3 linked regions of the Cricetulus griseus genome follow. The protein of the gene in region 1 purifies or fractionates together with the protein of each later gene. This does not show direct contact. Links are inferred from orthologs where the notes say so. Each region holds a gene or a part of one and is shown in the gene's direction. Other genes may lie near its edges.

What was found.
Region 2: the proteins of Ranbp2 (region 1) and Nxf1 purify together in Homo sapiens (co-immunoprecipitation; 5 studies listed by BioGRID and IntAct, with this or other methods). This does not show direct contact. The link is inferred for Cricetulus griseus from reciprocal best matches to the Homo sapiens genes RANBP2 and NXF1.
Region 3: the proteins of Ranbp2 (region 1) and Bicd2 purify together in Homo sapiens (affinity purification with western blotting; 3 studies listed by BioGRID and IntAct, with this or other methods). This does not show direct contact. The link is inferred for Cricetulus griseus from reciprocal best matches to the Homo sapiens genes RANBP2 and BICD2.

What each region holds. Positions count from the first base shown.
Region 1 is NW_023276807.1:2,653,880-2,658,030, reverse strand, and holds the start of Ranbp2 (E3 SUMO-protein ligase RanBP2), read left to right. Parts: upstream 1-1,288; 5' UTR 1,289-1,401; coding exon 1,402-1,473; intron 1,474-4,151. UniProt on the Homo sapiens protein: E3 SUMO-protein ligase which facilitates SUMO1 and SUMO2 conjugation by UBE2I. Involved in transport factor (Ran-GTP, karyopherin)-mediated protein import via the F-G repeat-containing domain which acts as a docking site for substrates.
Region 2 is NC_048596.1:51,324,819-51,329,154, reverse strand, and holds the end of Nxf1 (nuclear RNA export factor 1), read left to right. Parts: intron 1-15; coding exon 16-71; intron 72-190; coding exon 191-298; intron 299-395; coding exon 396-454; intron 455-542; coding exon 543-658; intron 659-780; coding exon 781-823; intron 824-1,373; coding exon 1,374-1,446; intron 1,447-2,007; coding exon 2,008-2,190; intron 2,191-3,205; coding exon 3,206-3,266; intron 3,267-3,500; coding exon 3,501-3,539; 3' UTR 3,540-3,836; downstream 3,837-4,336. Other genes in the region: Tmem223 (transmembrane protein 223), read left to right, coding at 3,935-4,238.
Region 3 is NC_048596.1:269,183,249-269,186,819, forward strand, and holds part of Bicd2 (protein bicaudal D homolog 2), read left to right. Parts: intron 1-1,555; coding exon 1,556-2,017; intron 2,018-2,691; coding exon 2,692-3,571. UniProt on the Homo sapiens protein: Acts as an adapter protein linking the dynein motor complex to various cargos and converts dynein from a non-processive to a highly processive motor in the presence of dynactin.

The sequences.
Region 1 (4,151 bases):
CCACTGCCCGGCAAAACTATTAGTTTAAAAAAGATTTTAATGTTTGTGTGTATCTCAGCACGTGTGTGCTCGGGTGCTACAGAGGTGAAAGATTTAGACCCTCGGAACTGGTTAGGGGTGGTTGTCGGCAACCAGATATGGGTGCTGGGAACTGAACTTGGGTCCTTCGGAGTAGCCAATATAACTTATAATTTATTACCGCTAATTGTTAAGTCACAAAACAGGACCCCAAACGGCAGTGCTGTTAACAATGTCGTAGATGGCCGGCCGCCCCGATTCTCACCCGGGGAAACAGAAACATTTTAGAATTTTTTTTAAAGATTTATTTATTTATAAATAAATGTATACAGTGTTCTGCCTGCATGTATGTCTGCGGGTCAGAGAGGGCACCAGACCTCATCACAGATGGTTGTGAGCCACCATGTGGTTGCTAAGAATTGAACTCAGTACCTGCGGAAGAACAGGCTGTGCTCTGATCCTCTGAGCCATCTCTCTCCAGCCCCAGAAACATTTTAAATTCAGCATTCCTCAGAAATCTAAGGATCCTGGTTTGTGTTCGTCAGGAAAGCCATCACTTCCCTTTTTTGCCCCTAACGGTCTATTACGCCGGGAAAAGTGCATCTCACCATGTAACGCCAATATTTCAACCATGTTTGGTTTATCCAAACATAAAGTCTTGGCCCAGTATTAACTATTATTCTGTTGAAACGAAAAGACAATGATGAAGTTCGTCTCTTTAAAAGGAAATCAACTTTTAAAATTTGACTAGATGGAGCGTCAAAAAGGTCGGACTCTCAGGGCGCTGTCATTTTGGGTCCTCTTTGTGATGTACCACTAATGAAATATATAAAGAGTTTTTTACACCCCCCCTCCCGGGGGGAAGAGTTATTCACATTCGTTTGAAAAGGGGGGAATATATATATATATAGAGAGAGAGACAGACAGAGAGAGAGAGAGAGAGAGAGAGAGAGAGAGAGAGAGAGAGAGAGAGAGAGAGAGAGAGAGAGAGAGAGAGAGAGAGAGAGGAGAGAGAGAGAGAGAGAGAGAGAGAGAGAGAGAGAGAGAGAGAGAGAGAGAGAGAGAGAGAGAGAGAGAGAGAGAGAGAGAGAGAGAGAGAGAGAGAGAGAGAGAGAGAGAGAGAGAGAGAGAGAGGAGAGAGAGAGAGAGAGGAGAGAGAGGAGAGAGAGAGAAAACGGTAACGTGGTCTGAAGGCGGGAGGCGACAAACAGGCGCGTCAGACCGCAGCGTGGCGCACGGTGATGACGCGAGTCGCACGCGCCGCCCCCATCCGTTCGCGACGGAGCTGCGTCACCGGTGTTCGGTGCTCACCTCCTGGAGACAGCGGCGGCTGTAGGCCCCAGGGCTGGCCTCCCGCTCTCGGGGAGCCTGGTCGGCGGCGCGATGAGGCGCAGCAAGGCCGAGGTGGAGCGGTACATCGCCTCGGTGCAGGGCTCCGCCCCGTCGCCGCGAGAGGTGAGCAGGTCCGGCCCAGCCGGCCGGCCAGCCGGCGTCATGGCTCCCGGCGGCCTCGGCTCCGGCTGGAGCGGAGGCGGCCGCGGGCGGCGTGGCGTGGCGCTGCTGAGCACCGGAGGCGCGGGCACTGCGGCCGCCCGCGTTTCCTCTTCATGGCGGGCCGCGGGCTCACTCGGGCCTCGTTGCCTCGGTCTCGGCGGGGCAGGCCGGCTTGGGGCGCTCTTCGGGGCTCGCCTGGCAGCGGCAGGCGCCTTCGGCCCCCGGGATAGACAGATCCGGCGACGCAGGCCGTGTCTGCCCGGGAGGTTGACGCCGCCCGGCGGGGGGCTTTTACCGTTGTGCGGGTGGCTCCGTGGACATGGAGCGGACGAACAGCCGCATTCGCAGGGCGCGTCGCACGGGAGGCCCTTAATTGGAGTCTTCCGTTGCTGTGCCCCGCTCCTTACATCGCCTTTCCCAAAATCTCCTTTGGAAGCTATCTTGGCTTTTTAAAAAGTTCTTTTACTTAAAGGTAGAAGGTCAGAAATTTTAAATTCTTTACAGGCAGTAGTTGCTGTGCCTTAACGTTGCTAACGTTTTCCCGTAACATGTTCCGTGGCTGTTTTTCTAATTTTGAAATCATTCATGTGTTTATGATTATTTTATATTCTTCAAGAGGGTTCGCCGGTGGAGATGTTCAGAGGCTCTAGAGTCAGTTTTTCTGGGGTTGAAGAGTCGGGTTTTGCCATTTCTAAACTGTAATTTGATATAGTATAGACTTTTCATCAATAAAAACACAGTTTTGATTCATGTTAAACATTTAGGGCAACCTTGAAATACAGCGAGCTTCAGTTTATCTATTGCAAACACACAGTTCAGTTTGTCTTTTTTTTAATTCTGAAAAATAGTTGTCTCTAAGGGTTTTATGATCGTCCATTTATACAAAAATGCACGGATGCACAAGTCCCTTATGCAAACAGCATAGTTTTCTGTTACCTTTAATCTTTTCTTAGGTAGTTTGAAAGAGTTAGATAATCCAGTCCAATAAAAATAACCCCTCAAAACTAGAATCCAAAGTGATCTTAAGAAATTTCATGTTTAATGCTGGGCAGTGGTGGCACACGCCTTTAGTCCCAACACTTGGGAGGCACAGACTAGCCTGGTCTACAGAGTGAGTTCTAGGACATCAGGGCTGTTACACAGAGAAAACCCTGTCTTGGAAAACAAAACAAAATTCAACTTCATTTAATGCTGTATGCCACAGGGGAAATTTTACAGCCAGTTTCCTCTGATGTGTCAAAATCAAAGTTCCAGGGCACAAAACATTATCAAATGAAAATACCTTCAGGTTTCTGTGTATAAAGTCTACATTAAACAAATGTATTTATATTGACTTGGGTCTTGTCACCAGGATATCTCATATGCTTGAAAATACTTAAAAACCTGAAGGAAAAAAGCAAAACCCAGAGACGCTGAAATCTATTAATGCCAAGCATTTCAAATAAGGCATACTCAAATAATAGTACCTAATACTATAAAAATAGTTGTTAAATTTTGTTAGGAACAGTGACAAGCAAATAATTTGTATGTATTCAGTTTTGCTTTTTCTGTTTCTGACTGGCCTTGAAGTCACAGAGCCTTTGCCTCCCAATTGCTTGTGTGCACCATTGAAGGTGTGCACCATGCCCAGCTACCAACATATTTTTTAAAAATACTTTTTGATGTAAGATTGGTTGGGTTGGATAGTGACCAACTTGGAGAGCAACAACCATAAGAAAGTTTGTCATAACTATTTTCATTCATTGTTCACTTTTGTGGCATTAACACAGTGTGTTGTTTAACCAAAACCCTTTGTAGTTAAAAAAAAAAAAAAGTTATGCCAAACAAGTTCTGTAACCACTAAGAAATAATGCCACAGGCCCTTCTTTCCTGTGCTCCTGGTGACCTGTATTTTATGTTTTGTATTTTATGAATTTGGTTATTGATATTTCATGTTTGTAGGATATTATATTTTGTTCTTTTGTGTCTAGATCATTTCACTTGGTGTATTTTCAAGATCATTCATGTTGTGGCAGGTGTTAAGAGTCATCTTTTTTTTTTTTTTTTTTTTTTGGTTTTTCGGGATAGGGTTTCTCTGTGGCTTTGGAGGCTGTCCTGGAACTAGCTCTTATAGACCAGGCTGGTCTCGAACTCACAGAGATCTGCCTGCCTCTGCCTCCCGAGTGCTGGGATTAAAGGTGTGCGCCACCAACGCCAGGCGAGTCATCCATTTTTAATGGCTGAATAATAATATATATATATATATATACTTAGGTATGCCACATTTTGCTTATTCATTTACTGCTGATTGACATTTAGGTTGTTTGTATCTTTTGCCCAATACATACAATGTAGCAAACAATGATGTAAAAATATTTTAGTGTCTGCTTTTAATTCCCTTGAGTTTACAACAGGTTTTCTGAGGAGCCCTCAAACTCCTTTCTATAGTGACTGTACTTTCTTATGTTCCTGCTGTCAATTTATAGGTTTTCAATTTCTTTATTTTTTTTACCAATGTTTCAAATTCAAATTTATTATCTTATTTCATTTTACTGAGAGAGAGAGAGAGAGAGAGAGAGAGAGAGAGAGAGAGAGAGAGAATAAGCGCTCTTGTGGGAGTCAAAGGAAAGTTTGCTAGAGTTGGTTCTCTTCTCTTGGCC
Region 2 (4,336 bases), on another chromosome or scaffold:
CGTCTTTGATTTCAGGGAAGCTATTTTGGAACAGAGAACCTAAAGAGTTTGGTCCTGCATTTCTTGCAGCAGTGAGTATCCCAGGAGCCCCTTGGGTGGGGGGTTAGTTACTGGCCTATGCATAGCTCACTACTGTGTCCCTTTGCTTTCAGACACAGAACTCAGACTCTTCCTTTCACTTTCCTTACAGGTACTATGCAATTTATGACTCAGGAGACCGTCAGGGTCTCCTGGATGCCTACCATGATGGCGCCTGTTGCTCACTAAGCATTCCTTCCATCCCCCAGAACTCTGCCCGGTGAGTGTCACGTGTCAGAACCTACCCATAACCACAGGATTCATTGGGATACAGGCCACAGTTCTTATCACCACCATCTTCCCCTCCTATTTTCCAGAAGCAACTTAGCTGAATACTTCAAAGACAGCAGAAATGTGAAGAAGCTTAAAGATCCCAGTAAGTATGTCAGTCAAATGGAAATAGTCATTAGAGCTAGCCAGTGCAGGTGTGTCCTAACCTTGGGCTCTCTTCCTTCTGCTTGCAGCCCTGCGGTTCCGGCTGTTAAAGCATACACGTCTCAACGTTGTTGCCTTCCTCAACGAGTTACCCAAAACTCAACATGATATCAATTCCTTTGTGGTAGACATAAGTGCCCAAACAGTAAGCATATGTTCTCCTGACAGAAGCCCAGAACTGGGGTGGGTGATGGGTTCAGCACTCACTAGGTGAGGAGCTCAGGCTCTGGTGGGGAACCTCCATTGCTTATGCTGTTTCTCTTTCAGAGCACATTGCTATGTTTTTCTGTCAATGGAGTCTTCAAGGAAGGTAAGAATCTTGAGTCCTCCTAAACTTTCTCTGTATCCTTAGTTCCCCAGCTATCTTCTCATCCCTTTTCTTCTCTGACCTTCCTGTTTTATCCAGACTATCTTAACTCCTACCTGTCTTAGATGCAGTGTGACAAAAATGTGGGGACCAGAACAGAGTAGATGAAGAGTCAGTTAGCCAGGTCTCCTTTCCAGCCCTGGGTTTATTCTGTGGGTCTGGGAAAGTTACTGAACCTCAATTTTTTTTTGTTTTGTTTTGTTTTTTTAGATGAGACTTGTAATACTCTTGCACAGTGGTGCTTTAGGAAGTGAAGTGACTTCGATATTTTGCCAAGCCATGGGCTAAGCACTTTCTAATTTGCCTCCCCTACTTCCTACTAACTATCCTCCAGATCTGTCCCTTTATCCTAATTCTGTTCCCCTGTGTCCAAATAACCATCCTTACCTGGCCAAGTTAGGATTCTTTGTATCAAATGCTGAGATATGAGAAACTTTTATAAAGATTAAGCCTGAGTGACTCTAAGGGACCATTGCTTTTATTCTCATTGCAGTGGATGGGAAGTCTCGAGATTCTTTACGTGCGTTCACGAGAACGTTTGTTGCTGTTCCTGCCAGCAATTCAGGGTAAGTGCTCAGCTTACCCTGTGAGTCTCATTCTCAGACCAGCAGTGTGATAATTGGAAAGAATTCTTCCCCAGGGAGTTACCAGAATTGTAGAAAAGCAATAGGAAGTTCATGAAGCCTGAGAACAACTATCAGTAGGTTGAGGACTGAATATATAATAATTCTAGTGTGTTTGGGAGATAATCCTCCTAAACACCTAGTCTGAAGTCAAGAATAAATGATAAGGGCTGAAGAGATGGCTCAGAGGTTAAGAGCACTGACTGCTCTTCCAGAGGTCCTGAGTTCAATTCCCAGCAACCACATGGTGGCTCACAACCATTGGTTATGAGATCTGGTGCCCTCTTCTGGTGTGCAGATAATACATGGAAGCAGAATGTTGTATACATAATAAATAAAATCTTTAAAAAATAAAATTAAAAAAAAACAATAAATGATAAAAGGTAACATGGGATGGGCATATGGATATTAACCAGATCTAAGAACAGACAGATCTAAGAACAGAGACAGTGTAGAAGGGTGAGGTTATTTGTTCATTTATTTAGTGTGTTCTCTGCCCCCAAGGCTATGTATTGTAAATGATGAATTATTTGTGCGGAATGCCAGCCCTGAAGAAATCCAAAGAGCCTTCGCCATGCCTGCACCCACACCTTCCTCCAGCCCAGTGCCCACGCTCTCCCCAGAACAACAGGAAATGTTGCAAGCATTCTCTACCCAGTCTGGCATGAACCTCGAGTGGTCTCAGAAGTGAGTCTTGAGCATGGATAGGGCCAAGAGGGAACAAATGGCCTGACAGTGAATAACAGTGCTTTAAAAAAAAAAAAAAAAAAAAAAAAAAAAAAGATTCTTAGACCTGCCTCCAAAGCCAAAGAGAAACCCTGTCTCAAAAAACCAAAAAAAAAAAAAAAAAAAAAAAAAATTCCTACTAAGACTTCTGCATAAATAATTTATATAAAGTTCCAAAGCACAAATGAAGAGTGACTTGTTGCCCTCCCACCTACCTATTGCTCCCTTCTCCCCCGGCAGAATGAGGAATTGAACCTAGCTAGACATCATATATGCAAGGCAGACACTACCACTGAGCTAATTCCCCTGGCCCTCTTTTTGTTGTTTTGAGATGGGGTCACACTATGTACTTGTCTGGCCTTGAACTCTCTATCTGCCTCCAGAATGGTGTGATTAAAGGAATGAGCCATTGCCCCTGGCTACCCAGTCATCTTCTTAGTTGTCATTCATTTTGAGACATGTTCTCAATAAGATACCAGCTCTTTACCAAGTCCTGTGAGCCTCATCATTCAAAGGGAGCTGGGAATATTAGGTGCATACAGTGTTCCAGAGCCCTTTTATGTATAGTTCTGCAACATAGTTTTCCTTTGAGACAGGGTTTCATTCACTGTGTCCTTGGCTGCTTGTAAGTCACTATATAGCTCAGGTTTGCTCAAATTTAGTGACTTTTACCTCCTTCAGCCTCCTGAGTGGTGGGATTAAAGGCCTCACCATCTTGCTACCAGCAACTTGGTTTTTAAGCCATGAAAATCCTTCCCTTCTAGTGTAAAAGTACTTTGGTCATTTTTGTTAGACATTTTGACACTTTAATGTTTCATTTGTATAAGTGGTGCAACAATGTATAAATGTAATTACTAGGAAACTTTGATGACTTTCTCCTTGATGGAATCTGGAGTGGCTTTTCTTTTTTTTGAGAGATGAGAGTGACTGCATTTTGGTTCTCACGTGGCTTCTTCCTGTTTTACTCCCACTCCAGGTGCCTTCAAGACAACAACTGGGACTATACCAGATCTGCTCAGGCCTTCACTCATCTCAAGGTAGAGCATGGAAATTGTGTGGCTGTAAACTGGGAGCTCTGAGCTTTGGAAAGGGTCACATGAAGGCTGGGTGTGGTGGTGCACACCTTTAATCCCAGCAGTTGGGAGGCAGAGGCAGCCAGATTGAATTTAAAGCCAGCCTGGTCTATACAGAGTTCCAGGTCCCGTGGTCTGGCAGGGCAGGTGGGAAAGGAGTCCTCTGGCTCTATTCACCTTTTCTCTTTCTTTCTGCAGGCCAAGGGAGAGATTCCAGAAGTAGCGTTTATGAAATGATCACAGGAAAAGCCCCCTTGTAAATAGCCCGTGGATAATATTGTCTGGCTGTCATCTGCCATCTCCTGTCCCGCCCGAGGCCAGCCTGTAACTGTGACTGAGGAGGGAGGGCTGCCTCATCTTCCTCACCTACCTTCTGGAAGACTTACAGAAGACTTCTGGAAGATTGAGCCTCGTGGTGCCAGGAAGCCAAAGCTTACTTTGTAGAGCTGACACTAAACTACCCGAAGGACTTAGGTGCTCTGTGTACTTAACCCCTGATTCCCTTTACTTTTTAAGATAAAGAGTGATATTGTAGTTTGTGTCTCATTACTGGCTTGTTTCCCTCAATGCAGAAGGGGTGGGAGAGTGCGTCATGACAGGAAGTCCCGCCCCAGAGACGGAAGTGCCCCGCCATGGCGGCACGTTGCCGGCAGTGGGTCAGCGGGTTGTTGTCCGTGCTACGTTCCCCTCCTGTATGCCGGCATTTGCAAAGTGGGGTACCACGGGATGTGCTGCTCTTCCAGCATGAACGGGGCCGCTTCTTTGCCATCCTTGGACTGTTTTGCGCTGGTCAGGGCATCTTCTGGACCTCCCTGGCTGTTGCAGCATTGTCCCGACCTCTGATCCGGGTTCCTGCAGAGGCTCCCAACCGGGGCTACACGGACCTGCGCTCTGCACTCTGGCGCTACGGGCTAGCTATTGGTTGCGGCACGATGGGTAAGGGCATGGGTTCCGGGTTGCCCTAGGGCTGTGAGCACAAAACTCACTCAATGAAGAAGGGTTCCCAATCCTCCCAGATGAGCAGAAATGTAAGT
Region 3 (3,571 bases), on another chromosome or scaffold:
AAGATTAGGAAGTCCTCCTGGATGGGTGAGGGTGAGAACCACTCAGTGCCTGGACATGCTTCCCATTCTCTAGGAGCTATAGCCTACAGGGAGCCTTTTCTCTCAGGAAATCCCAGCCAGGCCTTACCCCCAAATACCATGGATGCTGTCTTGCTTTTTTTTTGTTAGAACCCAGATCATCTTACAGCTAAGGCCTCACCGTCAGTGCACCCAGGTTTTATATCCTGCAGGAGGAAGCCTGTGTGCCTGTGTAGAAAGAAGCTTTTGTGTTTGCAAAAGCAGGCAGGGGATGGATTCTGGTGCTGGGCAACCCTAGGAGCAGGGCTCACCGCTCCATCCTGTAGTACATAAGCATGAGGTTCCATTGGGCATTGGTTGGTGCTACTGCCCACAGTGCCCTGAGGAGAAAAGCCAGAGCTCAAGGAGACCTTGCATTCCGTGGAGCCACACCTCTCTGAGGTTCCTCACCCTCACTTGGGGTACTGGGATGTGGGAACACTTAGAGTGCTGTATCGGGTTTCCCTTCCTACCCCAAACCCAGAGAGATTCGTTCAGTACTTAACATTACAGTGAGATGTTTTTATATACCGGAGCCTCACAGTAAGCATCAACTGCCATTTACTCTTTTTTTGTCCACTCTCAAATTGTGTCTTGTTTAGAGCACCAGTTATGCTTTCCCTCTGGCCCTCCAGCTCCTCCATACTTGCATTCAGCCTTGATGGGAAGTCCAGTTCCTTTGTTTAGAAATATGATTCAAAATAATGGCCATAGCACACAACAAAGCATCTATTTTATGTGCCTTAAAATAACCTGGTTGGCTGGAGAGACGGCTCAGCAGTTAAGAGCACTAGCTGCTCTTACAGAGGTCCTGAGTTCAATTCCCAGCAACCACATTTTGGCTCATAGCCATCTGTAATGATATCTCTTCTGGACTGCAGGGATACATGCAGACAGAACACTGCATACAAAATAAGTCAATTTAAAAAAAAAAAAAATAACCTAGTTAGGGCTCAGTGGATAGAGCTGTTTACCCTGCGAGCCTCGTGACTCAAGCCCGGTTCCCAGAGCTCACATAGAGGTGGAAGGAGAGAATCTCCACTTTGTACAGTGGCCTGTGCATTCCCTGCCCCCCCCCATAATCATGAACATACATTTAAAAGAGAGATTTGGTTAGCTGTTAATGTTAAATGAGTAATTTTATGGAATTTTAAGTCAATGCACACTGGTACTAATTTTCAGAAATATAGCAGGAATTTGGCAGCCTCCATGTTAATCCTCATCCATGGCATTGCAGGTTCCGTGTGCTTCGCAGGCACATTGATCCTGGCAGTGGGTTGAATGTTTCTTTTACTCCCAATGCTCCAGAAGTACCCTCTGAGCATCTGTGTTGCTTGATGTAGAAAGTGGCCTTTGTAGCCACTGCCCTCTCCTAGAGGGTGGCATTTCATTCTGTGGGTCTCCTTGTTCTTTGTGGTCGGGGAGGTAGTGCTCTGGCATTGTCCAGAGTGTAGCCTCCACATGGCCTTGACACGGAAGTCTCTGTGTTATTCCCCAGGTGGAATTTGAGGGCCTCAAGCATGAAATCAAGCGCCTGGAGGAGGAGACCGAGTACCTCAACAGCCAGCTGGAAGATGCCATCCGGCTTAAGGAGATCTCTGAACGGCAGTTGGAGGAGGCGCTAGAGACACTGAAGACAGAGCGGGAGCAGAAGAACAACCTCCGCAAGGAGCTGTCCCACTACATGGCCATCAACGACTCCTTCTACACCAGCCACCTGCAGGTCTCCTTAGACGGCCTCAAGTTCAGTGATGATGCCGTCACTGCTGAGCCCAACAATGACGCTGAAGCCCTGGCCAACGGCTTTGAGCATAGTGGCTTGCTCAAATCCTCACTGGACAACAAGACGTCCACACCCAGGAAGGATGGCCTGGCTCCACCCTCCCCGAGCCTTGTTTCCGACCTGCTCAGTGAGCTCCACATATCTGAGATCCAGAAGCTGAAGCAGCAGCTGGTGCAGGTGAATAGGCAGGGCCTGGTGCTCCGTCCTTCCCTGTCCCCACTGCCTTTTGCAGTGCTGGCAGGCCTGCATGTCCTATGGAAGCAGTGCTGTTGTGACATGTGGCAGCTGCCTTTCATTTACTTGTACTGGTTTTAGATCCCGTATCTTTACCCCAAATGAAACTCTGTTAGTGAAGAGTAGTGTCCCAGGGAAGTAGCTTCCAGATTATTGTGTAAAGTTTAGTCCTAGGTGTCTATGTTGCTTCTCCCTTTGCTACCCATATCATGTCAGGGTGAGGTGTCATGGCCCCTTGTGTAAACTCCAACCATAGTCCAGCTAGAGTCTCAGCAGGGCCATACATCAGCACATCCCAAAGTTTAGCGTTGACCTAGGAAATGAGTGTCCTCCACAACAGGAGAAGGAAAGTGGTAGAAAGCTGGGACACTTAGGGAACCTGCCAATTTGCTCTGGAGTTCTATGTGTGAAGCCCAGCTTTGCTCCAACACATGTAGAGTGAACCTTTATGGGTGACGACTTTAGTTGGTGAATTCTGTCCAGTCCGCTGTCACTAGTGGCATGACCAGGGATTTTGCATAGCCCATGGCCCATCTGGCATAGCCCGAGATGTTGCTGGGCCACCTGTAGTCCTTTAAGCTTACTGACTATCTTTCCTGCTGTATCTCCCTTTGCAGATGGAGCGGGAGAAGATGGGCCTACTGGCCACACTGCAGGACACACAGAAGCAGCTGGAGCAGGCTCGGGGGTCCCTTTCTGAGCAACAGGAGAAGGTGAGCCGCCTCACAGACAACCTTAGCGCTCTGCGTCGCCTGCAGGCTGGCAAGGAACAGCAGACTTCCCTGGATAACGAGAAGGACCGTGATAGCCACGAAGATGGTGACTACTATGAGGTAGACATCAATGGGCCTGAGATCATGGCCTGCAAGTACCACGTGGCTGTGGCTGAGGCTGGTGAACTCCGGGAGCAGCTCAAGGCATTGCGCAGCACACACGAAGCTTGTGAGGCCCAGCACGCAGAAGAGAAAGGCCGCTATGAGGCTGAGGGCCAGGCCCTTACAGAGAAGGTCTCTCTGCTAGAGAAGGCTAGCCACCAGGACCGAGAGCTGTTGGCCCAGCTGGAGAAGGAGCTGAAGAAAGTGAGCGATGTGGCCGGTGAGACCCAGGGCAGCCTGAATGTAGCTCAGGATGAGCTGGTGACCTTCAGTGAGGAGCTGGCCAACCTCTACCACCATGTGTGTATGTGCAACAATGAGACGCCCAACCGTGTCATGCTGGATTATTACCGTGAGGGCCAGGGCAAGGCTGGCCGCACCAGCCCTGAGGGCCGAGGGCGCCGTTCACCTGTCCTTTTGTCCAAGGGGCTGTTGGCCACAGAGGTAGGGCGAGCAGATGGTGGGACTGGGGACAGCAGCCCCTCTCCCAGCTCTTCACTGCCATCACCATTGAGTGACCCCCGCAGGGAACCAATGAACATCTACAACCTGATCGCCATCATCCGAGACCAGATCAAGCACCTCCAGGCCGCCGTAGACCGCACGACTGAGCTGTCGCGGC